Yarrowia lipolytica: one gene and its partners. The protein of the gene in region 1 purifies or fractionates together with the protein of each later gene. This does not show direct contact. Links are inferred from orthologs where the notes say so. Each region holds a gene or a part of one and is shown in the gene's direction. Other genes may lie near its edges. The genes, in order: YALI1_C17949g, YALI1_F17907g, YALI1_B02091g and YALI1_F21261g.

Region 1 (3,079 bases):
TACAGGCAACCTTTCGCTTGGGCTGTCGCACCTCGTCGGCCACCAGAGGACCGTCCGTCTTTCGACGTGTATCTCGGCCCTCGCCCTGCTTCTCCTGCTCTCGTTGTCGGTCGCCTCGTCGGTCCATCTTCTGCTTCTTGGCCTGGTGATCGCCTCGAGGTCGGTTCCAGTTGCCTCCCTTGCCTCGCTTCTGGCCGAGATCGTGCTGCTCAGCCGAGTCGCCGGACGCACTGTTGCCGACGACGGGGGTGGTGGTAGGTTCGCTCATGGTGACGGGGAAAAATCGGCCTTTCAACGGAATCAGACGTTTGATCACTTGCAAAAAATTACCTTTCATGCAGTAGAATATTTTTCGCTGAGAAATGCGAACTACAAGTACAACAAGCTGTTCTGGATAACCATAAATCCGACAGCAAAGCCAGCATTACAGAAGCAAGAGCTTCGGGGCGAGCCCGTTTCTGGCTCCTCTGGATTTATTTGTAGTTTTTAATTCGATTTAATTCGGTTTTAAATCATATTTATGAAAAAAAAAATACAGGGCTGTACTCGTCATACTCGTACCTGTAGTAGCAGAATAACAGTTCCAAGATAACAGACACACTCCCGGTTCTCTCTTTGATGGCATTAAATGTATGTATATATAGAATTCATTACTTATTTCATGGATGAATTTCGAATATTTCTAAAACACCCCGAAAATCGACAGAAAAATATAAAAAATTTCCTTTTTTTCTCCCTTTTTTTTTTGAAAACTCTAATAAAAAAATTTAAACAAACTTCATCGTCATTGGACATGCAGGTAAATTTCAACTTGACAACAGTGGTATTGTAGCTACAAGTAGATAAATATGCCCTGGATAGCCTTTGGGCGTCAGTCCAATGATGGTTGGTCTGACGGATCTTCAACCAGTCATTTAAAACATGTTACATTACAATTTTGGTGCTCGTAAGCCAAGGTGTTGAGACAGGGTCAGACACAGGCTGAGATACTCCGTAGCCATGATCATAAGGCCGACTCCCTAGGGTTCAGTTTCGGTAGATATCAGTCATCAATTGAGATACCAGCCAACAATTGAGATACCAGCCAACAATTGAGATACCAGCCAACAGGAGATATCCGAGTTCAGGCCAGTCGCATAGCCAGTACAACGACCACAGGCAGCGGCATTCCAACAGGATCCAGCTTGAATCCGCTTATTTCTCCCACAAGGTGTAAACGAAAGAAAAGCCCTTCTCTTCCACAGGAGTATCTCGTCCAGGAAGCTCCACCTTGTCTCCCACAAAGTCTTGGAGACGTTCATAAGGCTGCTTCTTCCACAGACCCTGGTCAAAGCCCTCGAAGAAGGTGTCACATTCCACGTGGCCGTCGGGACAGGTAATTTCTGTCAAAAGCACGGCCTTTGTATGTTCGTGGACCAGCGCGGTCTTGTAAACCTGAGATCCGCCGATGACGTAAACGGTAGAATCCTCGGGGCACTTTGTAAGCGCTTCGTCGAACGACCGGGCGACTACAACCTCCTCGGGAGCGTCAGTCATGGGTCTAGAAGTGAGAACAATGTTGGTTCGATCAGGAAGAGGTCTGAACTTGGGGGGAATGGAGTCCCAGGTGGTTCGTCCCATGATGACGACGGCGTTCTTCTGGGCTGTAGTCACCTGTTTGAAGAACTTCATTTCTTTGGCTAGTCTCCATGGAAGTCCTCCATTGAGTCCGATGCCATATCGGGGCACTGTGGCTGCCAGAATGAGCGTAGTTGAAGGAGGCATTTTTGTCAGTGTTTGGTGCTGTTTCTTGTGCCCTGCCAGTGTACCAGTTGATCTGACGCGTATAATTTAGACTTAACGCGTGACCCAAATGGCGTAAATTAGCCTACCCAGCGGGGATTCGAACCGAGTGGATTTTAATCTTCAGTCCAATATGCACTGGTGGAAACACCACTGTCTGTGATCATCAACCCACAAAACCACACAAGACACACACACACACAACAATGAACGTGTCTACAAGTACTGTTCAGCAGCAGCGACGAAAGCCCACGACCGTCAACGCGGTGCAGGACGAGGATGCAGCCCAGCTGAAACTCGGACCCGAGTTCGACGTGACCCAATACACCCACGACGGGTTTGAGACCGCCCTCACAGCTCTGTCGACCTCAGAGGCCCGATCTCTCATTAACCATACGCTCAAGAAGCGAAAGAATGACGCATTGGGTATTGAGAACACGGAAGACGATACCCTGGACGACGAGGAGGAGATCAACGCCAATGACGTGCTGCGAAAGACCCGGGAGTACATGAACATCTTCTCGCGGTTCCGAGAACAGCAAAAGGTGGCTGCGGTGGCCCAGATTCTGCGTCACCAAGACAACGCCGATCTGCATCCGTTTGAAATCGCCCAGCTCGGAACTCTGTCGTGTGATGGAGCCGAGGAGGCCAAAACTCTGATTCCCTCTCTGGCTGCCAAGCGAACCGACGCCCAGCTCCAGGAGCTGCTGGATCTGGTCAGAGAACATGACCGAGAAAACTAAACGGTGCTGTATTATAAATGGTGCTACAAGGTGGGTAATATATATTGTATAACAGCGGGTATGTGGACCACAGGCTAATGTGGTACGAGTAGCTGATGTACTCAAAGAGATATGACACAACATGACTACGGAATTACCGAGTTCACACTGCCGTTTAAACGGTACTGTACTTACTGTCGATACATACACTTGTACCCACGAGAACACATGCCCAAACACACACAGTCCCTCCATTCATGAACATATCAGGTATTTTTCATTGTCGTCAGGATGCTCTCGGTTGGCTCCATCGCGGTATATATATTCTGAATCTTAGTAAGCAAAAAAAATGGCCAAAAAAGGCAAAAAAAGATCAGCCCGACGTGGGGCTTGAACCCACAGCCTTGAGATGACCTTAGAGTAAGAGTCTCACGCTCTACCGATTGAGCTAGCCAGGCGATTTTTCTTTTAAAAAAGTCGTGTTTATCCATATCCAGGATTTACTTAGTCAGCAAAAATTATAATAATAAAAATAAACGATTTACAAGTGTATGATTTATTGAATGCCAATAACC
Region 2 (2,736 bases), on another chromosome or scaffold:
TGCTCTGATTGAGCTGCAGGCTGAGGTTCGGGGTCTGGAGAACCAGCTGGAGGACAAGGAGATGGAGGTGGCGACTCTTCGGCGGTCCCATAAACGATTGGAGACCGAACAGGGTCGGGGTCTTGAGGGTTCTAAGAGCGAGCTGGCTGAGCTGACCAAGACTCTGGCAGCCGAGACCAAGAACGTGTCTTCCCTAAGACAGCAAAACATGATGCTGCAGCAGCAGACTGATGCTATGAAGCGTCAGCGGGAGCTTGAGCAGTCCGAGGCCAAGCAATGGCGCGACGAGCACGACCGGCTGGCTGCACAGGTGCACGACCTTCAGCAGCAGGCCCAGGCTGACGAAAAGGCCAACTCCGAGGCCCAGAAGCGGGTTGCTTCGCTGCTGTCTCAGGTTCAGAATCTGCGAACCACCATGGACGAGATTGCCACTGACAGAGACCAGCTGCTCAAGGACAAACGAGCTCTTGAAAGCCGTGTGTCTACCATGGCAGTTGATCTCGAGAGTCTTCTAAAGAGCCACGGTGAGACGCCTCTCTCTCGAACCTCCTCTCAGGTGTCTTCCACGCAGCTTCGAACTGCTGAGAAGTCTGCTGCCGACGCTCTGGCCGCTCTGGAGCGTGAGCGCAGGGTGATGCAGACTCAGAAGCGAGAGTCAGAGCAGCAGACCAAGGAGCTCAACCTCAAGATTCTCGATCTCGAGTCAAGACTTTTGTCTTCTGGAGGAGGGGATACCGAGGCCCTCAGAAAGCGGGTGTCTCAGCTCGAGAAAGAGCTCCAGCAGCAGCAGTCGGATATGCTTGCTGACCTCAAGTCGTCTCGAGGAGGTGACCGTCAGGCACGTGAGCTCCGGGATCAGCTTGATCAGCGTGACCAGCTGGTAAAGCGACTGCAGGAGGAGTCTGCCAAGTCGGAGGCCAAGGTGAACCGACTGGTGGAAGCAGTTGAGAAGGCACAGGGAAGCGAGTCGCAGTACCAGGTGGTGGCTCGACGGGCAGAGCGAGAGTCTAGAGAGCTGCGAGAAAAGTCTCTACGGCTGGAGAAGGATTTGGAGAACTGGAAGTCACGGCTGGAGGCGTACGTCAACAACAACTCCAACTTTGAGCCCTCCTTTGTTTAATCGTTCATTTCATTTATATTTAAATACATTATACCCATGACAAGCAGCCGAAGCGGAGCGGTTGCAGAATGTAGACTTGGTAGAATTGCGTATAAATAATCTCTTGTTAGACTTTAGTTGACTTAAAAAAAAATGGACTGGGGGATTGAATGCCGTGTTCCACATTTTGTAGAAAGTGACCAATATACAAGTCAGAACAAGTACTTTTGCGGGATGGAATAAATCTATGAGGCTAGATAAAATACCCTTTTGATAGTTATTTTATATGAATTATGAGATTTTTAGTAAATATCTAACTTCCATTTTTACTCGGACTTTTAGTTGGAAGGGTGCGAAGATGATACTCCCAAGAACTGTATATACTGTGTCTATTAGGAGGCGACTTTAGATGTACAAACGGGGCTGTAACAGCTCAAAAAAATATGCCTAAATCGATAAAATAACCAAAAAAAGAGAGCAATAACTCAAGTCTGGTTTAATTTTTATTATATATTTTCATATTTGTACAGGTACAGTACCTGGCACCGTTTCAATCTCACTCCATCCACTCACAAATTTTAAGTTCATTTCACACTACCATGTCATAATCTGTGAGACGCATGACAAACTCTGGGCCAGCACTTTTCCAACACGCCAACGACCATGTCTACTCGAACTGAGCGAGCATGTATGCTCTGTGGAATCGTCCAGCCGCTCAAGGTGAGTATCACGTGACCTGATCTATTGTTTCACCTACTAACCCAGGCTTTCATTTCCAAGGGATGTCCTAACTGCGATTCGGTGCTCGACATGAAGGCCGACGATAGTCTGACACAGGACTGCACCAGTCCATGTGAGTATGAAGAGGGACGACAATTGATGGATCTTTTTGTTTGAAGCTTTGACTAACCCCCAGCATTCGAAGGCCAGGTGGCGCTCTGTGACCCCAGCTCATCGTGGGTGTCCAAGTGGCTGCGAATCGACGGCTTCCAGCCCGGTCTGTATGCCGTCAAGGTGAATGGAAAGTTGCCGCAGGACATTGTGGATGATCTGAAGAGCAAGGGTGTGGTTTACCGACCTCGAGACGGCTCTGCCCAGGATTAGCATGTATTTATAAATGGATGTATATTACTAAGCCAATGTATTCTTCAAGCGCACGCACATGGTGAAGAGGGGTCCAAACTCTACACATGGACTACCACGAGTTGCTCCAGCTGAAGGCGTCAAAGTCGGCCAAGAAGGGAGGCAAGGAGACGCTGGCCGAGCTGGACGAGTGGCGTAAGCAGCTGTCTGATGACGTACGAGAAAACCCCCGTGCTCTGACCCACGGTGAACTCGCCAAACTCATGACCTGGAAGCTGAAACGCGGCACGTTCCGTCCAAAACTGCAACAGCTCGCGGAATCGAACAGGGCCGAGGAGGTGGAGCAAGTAACACAAAAAGCGGCTCATCTGATTGCAGGTGACGAGATCATCGAAGCAATCAAGGTCTTGAGTGAGCTGAAAGGCGTGGGTCCGGCTACGGCGTCTCTGTTGGGGTCTGTCATGAGCGTCAATGTGCCGTTTTTCAGCGACGAGGCGTTTGCGCACGTTTGTCCAGGTGTGAAAATCACGTACACGTTGAAGGCCTATGAAAAG
Region 3 (6,881 bases), on another chromosome or scaffold:
TCAACCGTGATTCCAACGTCATTCCAACGTGATTCCAACGTCATTTCAACGTGATCCAACGTGATCCAACGTGATCCAACGTGATCCAACGTGAGTCGTTCTTCATAAACTGGTCACGCCAACTGTCCTGGACAAGGACATGTTCAGCATCCAGGCCGTGGGGTGGCGTTTGAGGCCAAAGAGAGCATACTGACGAAGAGCTTTCAGCTTTCGATAATATTCTCACGTAGTTCTTTTCCACGTTGTCCTTGGAGTTGAAATGAATACCCGGGTACTGTACAGTAGCACTCAGGGATGGCGGTGAATTGGCAAAGATGCCAATAGTGTGCGTTCAAGAATAACATCAGATAGCGAGACTAGTTGCTGGGGAGACTCGACACGCGGGATAACAGCTCTGGTCGGATTGAGACACTTTGAGGAGTTCTGTGGGGTCCTCATCCTTTGGTGTAGGAGGATCACGAAAGGTTTCATTGAGTGCCTATTCAAAGAAAGAGGCCCCAAAAGAGACCTTGAACTGAGTCCAAAAACCCGACATGGAGCTTGTAGATGAAGCGGTCATGCCTGGAGCGCATTCGTTTTGTTTTTTGAGGCCTTGAAGGCATACCGGCTCACAAACTCTTAAGCCCCGGGGTTGTCGCATTCGGCCCGGAGACAAACAGCTTTCTGGAGTCCGACTGGATGGGCTCCGTAGAGAGATTCTCAGGTCAAACGACTGTCAACCATCCCTCAGTCGGGGAAGATACTCTGGGGAGTATATGATGTTCTCTCCAGGTGCCTTTTCTGACGAGCCCTGGCTCTATGAGGGACTGAAACTTGAAGAAGCTGTACATTGATGGAGACAAATCCGATTAGAAGCTCGCCAGCTCAATAATCGCCTCGTCTGCTTGTGTGAGTGTCGTTTGGAGGTTGAGACACTGTCGTGGTGTGGATCGTACTCAGGGTCATTAGAATTGATTAAAAAATCAGGGTAGAACTTCGCTTTTTCACCGGCTATCTCATTTCATCGTAGTTGTAGTTTGAACCAAATTATTCCACACGGTATGGACTCGTACAAGTCTCTGACCTGGAAGTGTTGTTTTCTTTGTTTTTTTTTTTATTTTTTTATATTTTTCGCCAGTTTTCTAAAACGAATTTATTTTTTTATTTTATTTATTTATTTATTTTATTTTATTTTATTTAATTTTATTTAATTTATTTAATTTAATTTAATTTAATTCTATTTAATTCTATTTAATTCTATTTGAAAACTCGGTTCAAAACTCCCACTGGAAATTTTAAACTTCCTCCGACTCGGAGAGTCTATCCAGTAAATAAAAATGGGGAAAATAGACAGAATTAGGAGGCGTGTGTTTCTGTGATCACGTGATTTTCCTGGTTTTCTGTATAGTTTTTTCTGTTTATTTTTCCGTCGTCTTGATCGACCATGGTTTTGTGGTGTTTTCTTTTGGGTTTTTATTTTTATTGTTTTTATTCAGACGAATTTTTTTTTATTTTTTTTGCTCGTTATTCCCACCTCTGTTCCACGTGACCTAACCCTGAAAAACATATTGTTGTCAGCACCACCACAACACGTCAACACCAACCCACCATGTCGTCCCCCGCTAGTGCCAGCGACGTTGATTCGGTCAAGGTCAAGATGGACGAGGACGAAATCGACGTCCGTGATGACGATCGTCACGAAAACGGCGAAGACAACGACAATGACAATGAAGAGATGGATGATAGTAGTGAGGAGGAGGATGATGATGATGAGGAGGAGATTGCTAGGGTGAGTGAAGTGTCGATATGACGAGATGACGAGATGACGAGATGACGAGATGAGCGAAGCGAATCTCGAGTGGATTTGGAGAGATGAGGAATCGAATCTCGATTTGGAGAGACGAGGAATCGAATCTCGAGTGGATTTGAGATGAACTAAGCGAATCTCGATTCCATTAAAAGACTGGAGATTCGTTTCGCTCATCTCCGTAGTGCCGCGGGTCTCATCTCCATAGAGTCGCGGGTCTCATTTGATGCTGGCAATGTTCTGTCTGGTTGGTTCAGTTCAGCGGATCACCAACCACAGTTTTCATCTGAGAAATCACAGTTTTCATCTGAACAATCGCGGTTGCCATCAGGAACAATCCTAGCACAGTAAACAGATCCAAGACTCAGTCAATCGTCGTCTTAGAATTACTGGCAGTGCCAGATCCCGCTGACGACGAGATACTCGCCGTTCTATCCAGTCTCGGCACTCGACTGTCTAACCTGACACTGCGCACTACTGGAGCTGCTCCAACATAATACTAACCCAGGTCCGACAAGGCTTCATTGTGGACGACGACGAAGAGGAAGAAGAAGTGGACAAACCGAGACGAAAACTCAAGAAACGACGACGAGTGATCCCCGAAGACACCGACGACAAACCCCCCACGCCCGCCGAGAACGACCATCTCGACGAAGATGATTTGGACCTCCTCATGGAGAACACGGGCGCGCCCCGAGAACGGCACTTTAAGCGTCTCAAGCGAGCAGGCGATGACGACTCCTCCGACCGCCAGAAGGGACTCGCCGACATGTTCTCCGACGAGGAAGAACAGCCCGCGCCGGTCGAACAGCGCAACGAGTTCGACGACTTCATTGAAGACGACGAGTTCAGTGAGGATGACGCACCAACACGGGGACGTGAGTCGCAGCGAGAGTCACGTGCCACTGGCGCTCCGGCCGCGTTCCTTTCCAAGGACGTGGGCATCGATGATGACAAGCTCAACGAGATCTACGAAGTGTTTGGCGACGGAGAGGAGTACGCATGGGCCCTGGACGCGGAGGAGGACCGCGAGCGTGCCCAGGAGGAGTACGAGGACGAGGGACGTGCTGGTCCAGAGCTCAGAGACGTGTTCGAGCCGTCTGAGCTGAGAGAACGACTCCTGACCGACGAGGATAATGACATCCGGGCACGTGACGAGCCCGAGCGGTACCAGCTTCTGCGTCAGTCGATCGACAAGTACGATCTGTCGGACGAGGACTTTTCCAAGGAGTGCGAGTGGGTGGCTAGCCGTTTGAAGACCATGAAACAGGAGCATGTTCCGCCCCACCTCGATTCCGAGTACGAGACTGCGGTCTCCAAGGTACTGGAGTTCATTGCCAAGGAGAATCTCGAGGTTCCGTTCATCTGGCATCATCGTCGAGACTTTCTTACCCATGTTTCGAAACATGAAAAGTTCAAGGCCAAGGTTGAGGATGACGAGTATGAGCCGACGTTGGAGGCACCTGTGGCATCCACCACCGAAGAAACCAAGGAGATTGAGTACACAACCGTCGAGTTGCTGTCTCTGGACGACCTGTGGATGATTGTGCAGCTTGATCTCGATTACCACGGCATTGTGGAGAAACAGCAGCAGCTGGAGCGGTTGCGAACCCAAGCGGGAGTGTCCAAGACTGGAAACCATTCATTCATCAACGATTTCGCCAACTCTGCCTCGTTGCAGGACACTCAAGACGCCATTGAGTATGTGCAATTTCGGTTTTCCGGCGAGCTCGGCGATTTGCAGTCCGGGTCGTCGAAGCGACATTCTCGGTACGCCAGATACGACCGAATTCGAGCCAGCAAGCTGTATGGTCTGGTCAGACAGTTTGGTATCTCCTCCGACGAGTTTGCAGAGAACCTGGAAACCTCCACGCGTATCAACTACACAGAGGATAACGCGCGAGCTCCAGCTGACCTTGCCACCGACTATTTGAACGATTCCAGCCTGGTCCTGAGTGACGCCGCATCGGCGCTCGAGAGCGCGACTCAGATGTTTGCCATGGAGCTGGCATTTGACCCGCGGGTGCGGCGGTATGTGCGTCAGCAGTTTGCGCAGCTCGCCAAGATTGACGTGTATGCAACCGAGGCGGGTTCCAGTCAGATTGACGAAGCACACCCAGCTTACGAGTTCAAGTACTCGCGAAATCTGTCATTTGAGGAGCTCAGAAAATCGCCCAAACTGTACCTTCAGATGCTGCAGGCCGAGGCTAAGGGCCTGGTGAATGTCCGAGTGTCGTACCCTGATTTCAAAACCAAGTTCATCGATCTTCTGCTGAGTAAGCTGCAGAGCGATGGCGTGTCTGACATTGCCAGTCAATGGAACACCCAGCGACGGGCGGTGGTTCGAATTGCAATGAAGACTCTCGTTCCCATGGTCACTCGATCTATCAAGGAGGAGTTGAGGAACGACTGTGAGCGGCAACTCTTCTTTGAGCTGCGTCGCATGTTTGGCAGAAAGTTGAACCAGGCTCCTTTCAAGCCGCGAAACTACGAAAAGGGCACAGTTCCAAGAGTGTTGGCGCTTTCTGCCGGCCAGGCTGATTTTCGACGAGACGCCGTGGTTGGCGTTTTTGTCGATGAGGAAGGCCGAGTGGCTGAACGGGCCAAGCTCGGAGCTCCACAAACCCAGGAGTTCACCAACGCGCTGTCCGAGATGGTCAAGCGTCGAACTCCCGATCTTATCGCCTTCTCGGGCCAGACAGTCCAATCCCACAGACTCAAGAGCGTGATTGAAGAGGTTGTTCGAACGCAGGGTCTGGAGGCCGAGGGAGAGCCTCTGGAGGTGCGATGGGTGCAGGATGAGGTTGCCTGCCTGTTCAGAAACTCCGCCGGTGCCCTGGTGGAGTTTGCAGACTCGCCTCCTCTGGAACGGTACTGTGTGGCTCTTGCGCGGTATGTTCAGAGCCCCCTGCTGGAGTATCTTTCGCTGGGCAAGGAAATCAAGGCGATTCCCATGGTGGATTTCCAGTCGTTGATTTCTGAGGACCGCTTCTACGAGGCCGTGGACTCGACTTTTGTCGATTACGTCAATCTCGTGGGAGTCGACATCAATGAGGCCATTAGAGACGCTTACGTGGCTCGAATGCTGCCCTACATTGCTGGTTTGGGCCCCCGAAAGGCGTCTGGTCTGACTCACAAAATCCAGTCTCGTGGCTATCTCGGCACTCGTCTGGATCTCATCACCGAGAAGCTGTGTGGAAAGAATGTCTTTATGAACGTGGCTTCGTTCCTGCGTCTTCCTTACGACAAGCGATCGGTTCGTCACGAGGAGACGGAACTTCTGGACGCCACTCGAATCCATATTGAGGATTACGAACTGGCGAAAAAGATGGCTGCTGATGCCCTTGAGCTCGACGAGGAAGATCTTCTGGAGTTTGAGTCCGAGGGAGGAGTTATTGCTCAACTGATGAAGGAGGGCGCCGAGAAGCTCAACGAGCTCATTCTGGAGGGCTACGCCGAGGAACTCGAGCAGAAACTCGGCAAGAAGAAGCGGTACACTCTGGAGATGATCCGAAGAGAGCTCATCAACCACTACGAGGAGCTGCGGGAGCCGTTACACGTGCTGACCGACCTTGAGGTCTTCACTATGCTCACCGGAGAGACGGAAAAATCGCTGCATCCCGGTTCCGTCGTGGCGGTGCAGATTAGAAGAATCTCCGACAGATACCTTGCGGTGCGTCTTTCGTGCGGAATTCAGGGCAACGTGACCCAGGACCGGATCACCGACCAGCGAGGAGTGCATCCGTCGGCGCTGTTTCACCATCAACAGACGATTCGAGCGGTCGTCATGGAGGTGTCATACTCGAATTTCTCCGCAGAGTTGTCGTGTCTCCACCGAGACATTTCTGACGCGCAAAAACGAGCCCGTCAGGTGAAGAGACCGCGAGATCAATGGGACTTTGAAGCGGAGGCCGCCGACAAGTCCGCCCAGGAGGTGCGTCGTGAGGTGGAGCAGCGAAAGACTCGAGTCATCAAGCATCCTCTGTTCAAGCTCTTCTCTGGCTCCGATGCCGAAAAGTTCCTCTCTACACTTCCCCGTGGAGAGCTTGTCATCAGACCCTCGTCACGTGGCACAGATCACATTGCCGTCACGTGGAAGGTCGGTGATGGCATTTACCAGCACATTGACGTCGTGGAGCTCGGCAAGGAAAACGAGTATGCGCTTGGAAAGACTCTCATGGTCGGCACCTCCAAGTACTCCGATCTCGATGAGCTCATCGCCATGCATGTCAAGTCCATGGCTCGAAAGGTAGACGAGCTGTGCCATTCGGACAAGTACTCGGCCGACTCCATTGCCGAGACGGAGCAGAGTATGGACTCGTATCTACGAGGTGGTTCGAAACGAGCCGTGTACCGGTTTGTGCTGTCGTCCAAAAAGGCTGGCTACTTCCATTTGCTGGTTAAGACGGACCAGAAGAGTCCCATGCTTGACTGGCCCGTCAAGGTGATTCCTGGAGGCTACCAGTTGGGTGGAGAAAAGTACCCTGATGTCATGAAGCTGTGCAACGGGTTCAAGACCTTGTTCAAGAGCAAGACTCAGAGAAGATAGTTGTGTATATTAATTGATTGTTGTAATGAAAGTAATCCGAGAGCGAGTCGTAACGACGCTGTTGGATGTGTCTTGGGCTATCCATTCCTCCAAGTGTTTCGTTCGTGTACGCGCACACTTTCACATTCTAGTACTGTACTACAGAGACGTCTACAGTATCTCTTCATCCTATATCGCCCTGCAGCTGAATCATCGGACCTCTGTAGCTGGTCGCTTCGTCCTATCTTTCGAGCGAACGTCGTCCGTTATATCTCGGAAACTCCACTGCGTGCTTGAAGTTGATATTAGCTCTGGTGTCCAAACAGGACTAAAGCCCGAGTAAGATTGGTGATGGCAGATCGCTTGTCGGGTGCAACAGGCGAATATGATAAGCGATTGCGACACTTTTGCCGAACATGTCAAAGTCAGATAATCTAGTAACAAACGAAACCTCTCCTACGTCGAGGTTCCAGTTTGTTTCTGTCGCAGTTCCCACTCCTTGGCCCCCTCCATGATCAAATCAAACACGGGATCCTTCACGTCGTAGTAACTGTCGACATCGTCGGC
Region 4 (3,623 bases), on another chromosome or scaffold:
CGTTCCAGGCGCTTGAGGTCGTCTGAGTTGTCGGAAACTGTCGTCTGGGCGGGCTTGGGAGCCGCTGCCTTACAGCCGTAGTCTGCCACTCCCGTTCCAGCTTTCTTCTTGGAGATTTCGCCCTGAATCAGTGCTGCAAAATCCATTTTTGTGTGTTGTGAATGAAGTAGCGTTTTTTTGCGATGCTGCACATACATCTATGCAGCTGCAGAACACATTTTGTGCCAACCTTAAAAACAGCGTTCTTCTTTTTTTCCTCTGCCAACTTTATCGAGGCACGACCATGACCAGATATGGAGAGGTAGGCGACACCACCAAGTCGCCTTGAAAATGAGAAATCGAGGCAGTTGCTTAGTCAGAAAACCTTTTTCCGATACAAACATGCAATTTTCACACTCTTGGAAGACTCCATACTATCCTTGTAACGCTCTTGCCCACGTCTCGTTGCTTTAGTCCGAACTTCTCCTCACACTCAACCAATGGGATTTTTTCAGTTCATATTAAGTAACTTTCAACAAGGACAATAGAACTAGTTAGTTTTAAGCGCAAGTAACTCTGACCTTCACTCGAAATATGCCGTCCAGAAACAACATCTTGTAGCTCTGAATCTCTTCTCGAGGCCACTACCTAAGATACATCGATGAACTCGACCTTGTGTACATGTATTCTTACATACGTCTCTTCTACACTCACTGACAGACCGCTCATATTCCCCTCAACTCTTCCTCGGAAAGTTACTTTGATTGCAGTTCGGTCTAACGGCGGTGAACTCTGCTGCGCAGGTATAGGTGAGCTGTGTGTCTCAGGGTGCCTGAACCCGAGACTTCTGGGTTAGATCAAAGGCAAAAAGGTGAGCTGACCTCTATTGCTAGCGGATCAACAGTTATGAGAACGCCCAATGTGATTGCCGACCCTCGGCTGATTGTATTGATCGACAAAGCAGCACATGCGGGAAGAAACGGAACCATGAAGGTGGAGATCCGGTGCAGATGTGCGCGCGAGAGATACGGAGAGGGTTATGGGGTCAAATTCAATTGAATTGCACATTTGTGATCATTCTGCTGCCCAATTGCGTGTGTACTATTGCTAATATTCCAGAATACAGTACATACTCGTGCGTACAGTGGGAACTTGGACAATCCACCCCAAACATCATAATATGTCTCAATTTCAACATATTTCGTCGATATCATTGATTGCGAGTGGCACAGAGACATGCGCAGAGTCATGCTTAGCATACATATCCCTTTCTTATACCAAAAATCCCCCTTCAAAGGGTCTAAAATTGACACCAACTTTTGCGATCACGTGACTAATCTGTCTTCTCAAAACAGTCTAACGGTTTTTGGTCCTAACGGTTGCGGCCATATCCTGGTGAAAATACGGCTTCCCGTCCGATCAGCCATAGTCAAGCACCAGAGAGCCTAGTTAGTATTGTAGTGGGAGACCATACGAGAATCCTGGGTGCTGCAATCTCTGTTTTTTGCAGCTTACTAAGGTGGCGACAATGTAAGTTTTTTTGCTTAGTAATAATGCTTTGCATTAATGCTTAGTAACAATGGGGTATTGGAGCCTTCCGAAGTCCTTCCTCAACCTTCGTTACTGGCCAAGCTGATTAATATCCTCTTTAATACTCGTATTATAGCACACAAAGAGGACCCAAACTGGTGTCAAGATGGGGCTTTTGTTTGAATCGACTTGAACAGAACTCGAACTTGGAGCATCTCATACTTCAACTAACTTTCCAACTGTTATTCCTCTCGTTTGACAGCTCTATAGTTGACCATCGAGAGCAACCCAAACTGTCACCACGACCACACAATTGGGGCATGCAATGACCATTAAAACTGAAAAAAGGTAGTCTAGCAAATATATACCAGTAATTCGAGAAGAATATCTCGGAAAAACTATACCCGCAACTCTTCAATCACCCATCATTAGGTACATGTCCATACATTACCTACGGTACCATATTTAAACTTCACCAAGAAAGTTCATATATGCAGAACCTCAGCACTTTGGCGGTTTCGCTGATCGAGATAGATACATTTCCATCATCGTTTCCTCACGACATTCGCACAGACAAGATGAACGTGAAATCTGAGGTCAAGCCCGAAGAGGAAGATGTTAAGATTCCTCCTCCTCCTGTTGATGCCGACGATGGATCTTTCGACCTGGATACTGCGGGACTCGAAAACCGGGTATGGTTGGTGCGACTGCCCAAGTTTTTGGTGGACAAGTGGAGCCATCTGGATGAACACACTAACAAGCGACTCGGCCAGGTGCTGATCAAGGAAAACACAGCTCCCGGCGAGAAACAAAAGGTGTCTTTGCGCCTAAGTGATACGCCCGAAAACAGTGAGATTCCACATGAGTATGAGTTGGATATCGTCAAGGAGGTGGTCAACAACACGTTTGTGTTCACGGAGAAGGAGCAGAAGAAGGAAAAGGAAAAAGAAAAGGAGGAGGCCGGCAGTAGTGGAGCCGGCTCGTCGTCGTCGGCAGCGTCATCGTCAGCAGGAAAGGTCTCAAAGCCATCAGCATTTCCATTTGCACGAACAATCCCCAAGAAAACGGCGCTGGCCGGCCGAGTAATCCACGAATGCACAGTTGTGCCGTCACTCAAGGACGCAAATTACAAAAAGGTCATTCAGAAGCGAAAGGAGCGACTGCAACAGCCTCCTGCTGCCCGAGTCACTCTGCTCAACGACCTCCCCGGCGTGGTGGCTTCTTCCAATGCCCCCAACCTGCGTGGCACTGGCTCTCAGTCGCACTTCATGAAGGCCCAGAAGAAGGATATCAAGCTGGACGGAAAGGCCGTTCGGATCGAGCGATCTGCGCTTCTGGATATCCTCTTCAAGCTGTTCGAAGAGTACCCCTACTGGTCGCTCAAGGGTCTTAAGGAACGAACCAAGCAGCCTGAAGTGTACCTTCGAGAGGTACTCGATAGCATGGCTGTTCTCAACAAGTCTGGTCCTTATGCCATGAAATACTCCCTGCAACAGGAGTACAAGCAGCTGTCCAATTCTGCAGGTGCCCAGGAGGAAGACGATGGTGCAGACGATGATGACGATGATGTTGAGATGGAGACTGTGTTGTAGATTTGACAAGTGGTTTGCACATGGGTTAGGTGAATAAATATAAATATCATTGACTATATAAATGAGTGAATAAATAGGTCAGTTCTTGGTTAATGGGGTATGAAGTTGAAGTTGAAAACATCGTGACGATTAGAAGACATCCTTATCCCAGTTGAAAACAGATAGACGAGGCTGGTCAGATCTCTTCTTCGGTAGGCCTCTTGAAATCTGACGTCGTTGTTGCATCATCAAAGCAGCGTACTCTGGATCTTCTTCATCTGACGACGGCAGATCACAAGAATCCGAGAAAACGGACACAGAAGAAGTGGTCGACGTAGTGGAGCTGCCAGAGACTGAACGTATCTCAGCCTCCGGACATCCAATGTGGAATCTGTCCAATTGTCCGTACTTTTTCGGGCTTCTCTTGGGGCTCTGAGACATTGTAACTGTAGAAGAAACCGATCCGGGAGCAATGTACTGATTAGGAACCGCAAACTCCTTCACAGGGGACTTTATGGTCACCATGGGAGAATTAGTAGTCTT

Evidence for each region.
Region 2: the proteins of YALI1_C17949g (region 1) and YALI1_F17907g purify together in Saccharomyces cerevisiae (affinity purification with mass spectrometry; 4 studies listed by BioGRID, with this or other methods). This does not show direct contact. The link is inferred for Yarrowia lipolytica from reciprocal best matches to the Saccharomyces cerevisiae genes RPB4 and SPT4.
Region 3: the proteins of YALI1_C17949g (region 1) and YALI1_B02091g purify together in Saccharomyces cerevisiae (affinity purification with mass spectrometry; 3 studies listed by BioGRID). This does not show direct contact. The link is inferred for Yarrowia lipolytica from reciprocal best matches to the Saccharomyces cerevisiae genes RPB4 and SPT6.
Region 4: the proteins of YALI1_C17949g (region 1) and YALI1_F21261g purify together in Saccharomyces cerevisiae (affinity purification with mass spectrometry; 4 studies listed by BioGRID, with this or other methods). This does not show direct contact. The link is inferred for Yarrowia lipolytica from reciprocal best matches to the Saccharomyces cerevisiae genes RPB4 and TFG2.

The regions. Positions count from the first base shown.
Region 1 is NC_090772.1:1,792,947-1,796,025, forward strand, and holds YALI1_C17949g (uncharacterized protein), read left to right. Parts: upstream 1-1,988; coding exon 1,989-2,525; downstream 2,526-3,079. Other genes in the region: YALI1_C17932g (uncharacterized protein), read right to left, coding at 1-337; YALI1_C17947g (uncharacterized protein), read right to left, coding at 1,195-1,764. UniProt on the Saccharomyces cerevisiae protein: DNA-dependent RNA polymerase catalyzes the transcription of DNA into RNA using the four ribonucleoside triphosphates as substrates. Component of RNA polymerase II which synthesizes mRNA precursors and many functional non-coding RNAs.
Region 2 is NC_090775.1:1,788,958-1,791,693, forward strand, and holds YALI1_F17907g (uncharacterized protein), read left to right. Parts: upstream 1-1,762; coding exon 1,763-1,819; intron 1,820-1,864; coding exon 1,865-1,952; intron 1,953-2,015; coding exon 2,016-2,203; downstream 2,204-2,736. Other genes in the region: YALI1_F17836g (uncharacterized protein), read left to right, coding at 1-1,120; YALI1_F17912g (uncharacterized protein), read left to right, coding at 2,290-2,736.
Region 3 is NC_090771.1:207,572-214,452, forward strand, and holds YALI1_B02091g (uncharacterized protein), read left to right. Parts: upstream 1-1,588; coding exon 1,589-1,768; intron 1,769-2,294; coding exon 2,295-6,335; downstream 6,336-6,881. Other genes in the region: YALI1_B02073g (uncharacterized protein), read right to left, coding at 1-22; YALI1_B02082g (uncharacterized protein), read right to left, coding at 479-674, 721-830; YALI1_B02149g (uncharacterized protein), read right to left, coding at 6,771-6,881. UniProt on the Saccharomyces cerevisiae protein: Histone H3-H4 chaperone that plays a role in maintenance of chromatin structure during RNA polymerase II transcription elongation thereby repressing transcription initiation from cryptic promoters.
Region 4 is NC_090775.1:2,124,480-2,128,102, reverse strand, and holds YALI1_F21261g (uncharacterized protein), read left to right. Parts: upstream 1-2,000; coding exon 2,001-3,101; downstream 3,102-3,623. Other genes in the region: YALI1_F21279g (uncharacterized protein), read right to left, coding at 1-197; YALI1_F21224g (uncharacterized protein), read right to left, coding at 3,231-3,623. UniProt on the Saccharomyces cerevisiae protein: TFIIF is a general transcription initiation factor that binds to RNA polymerase II.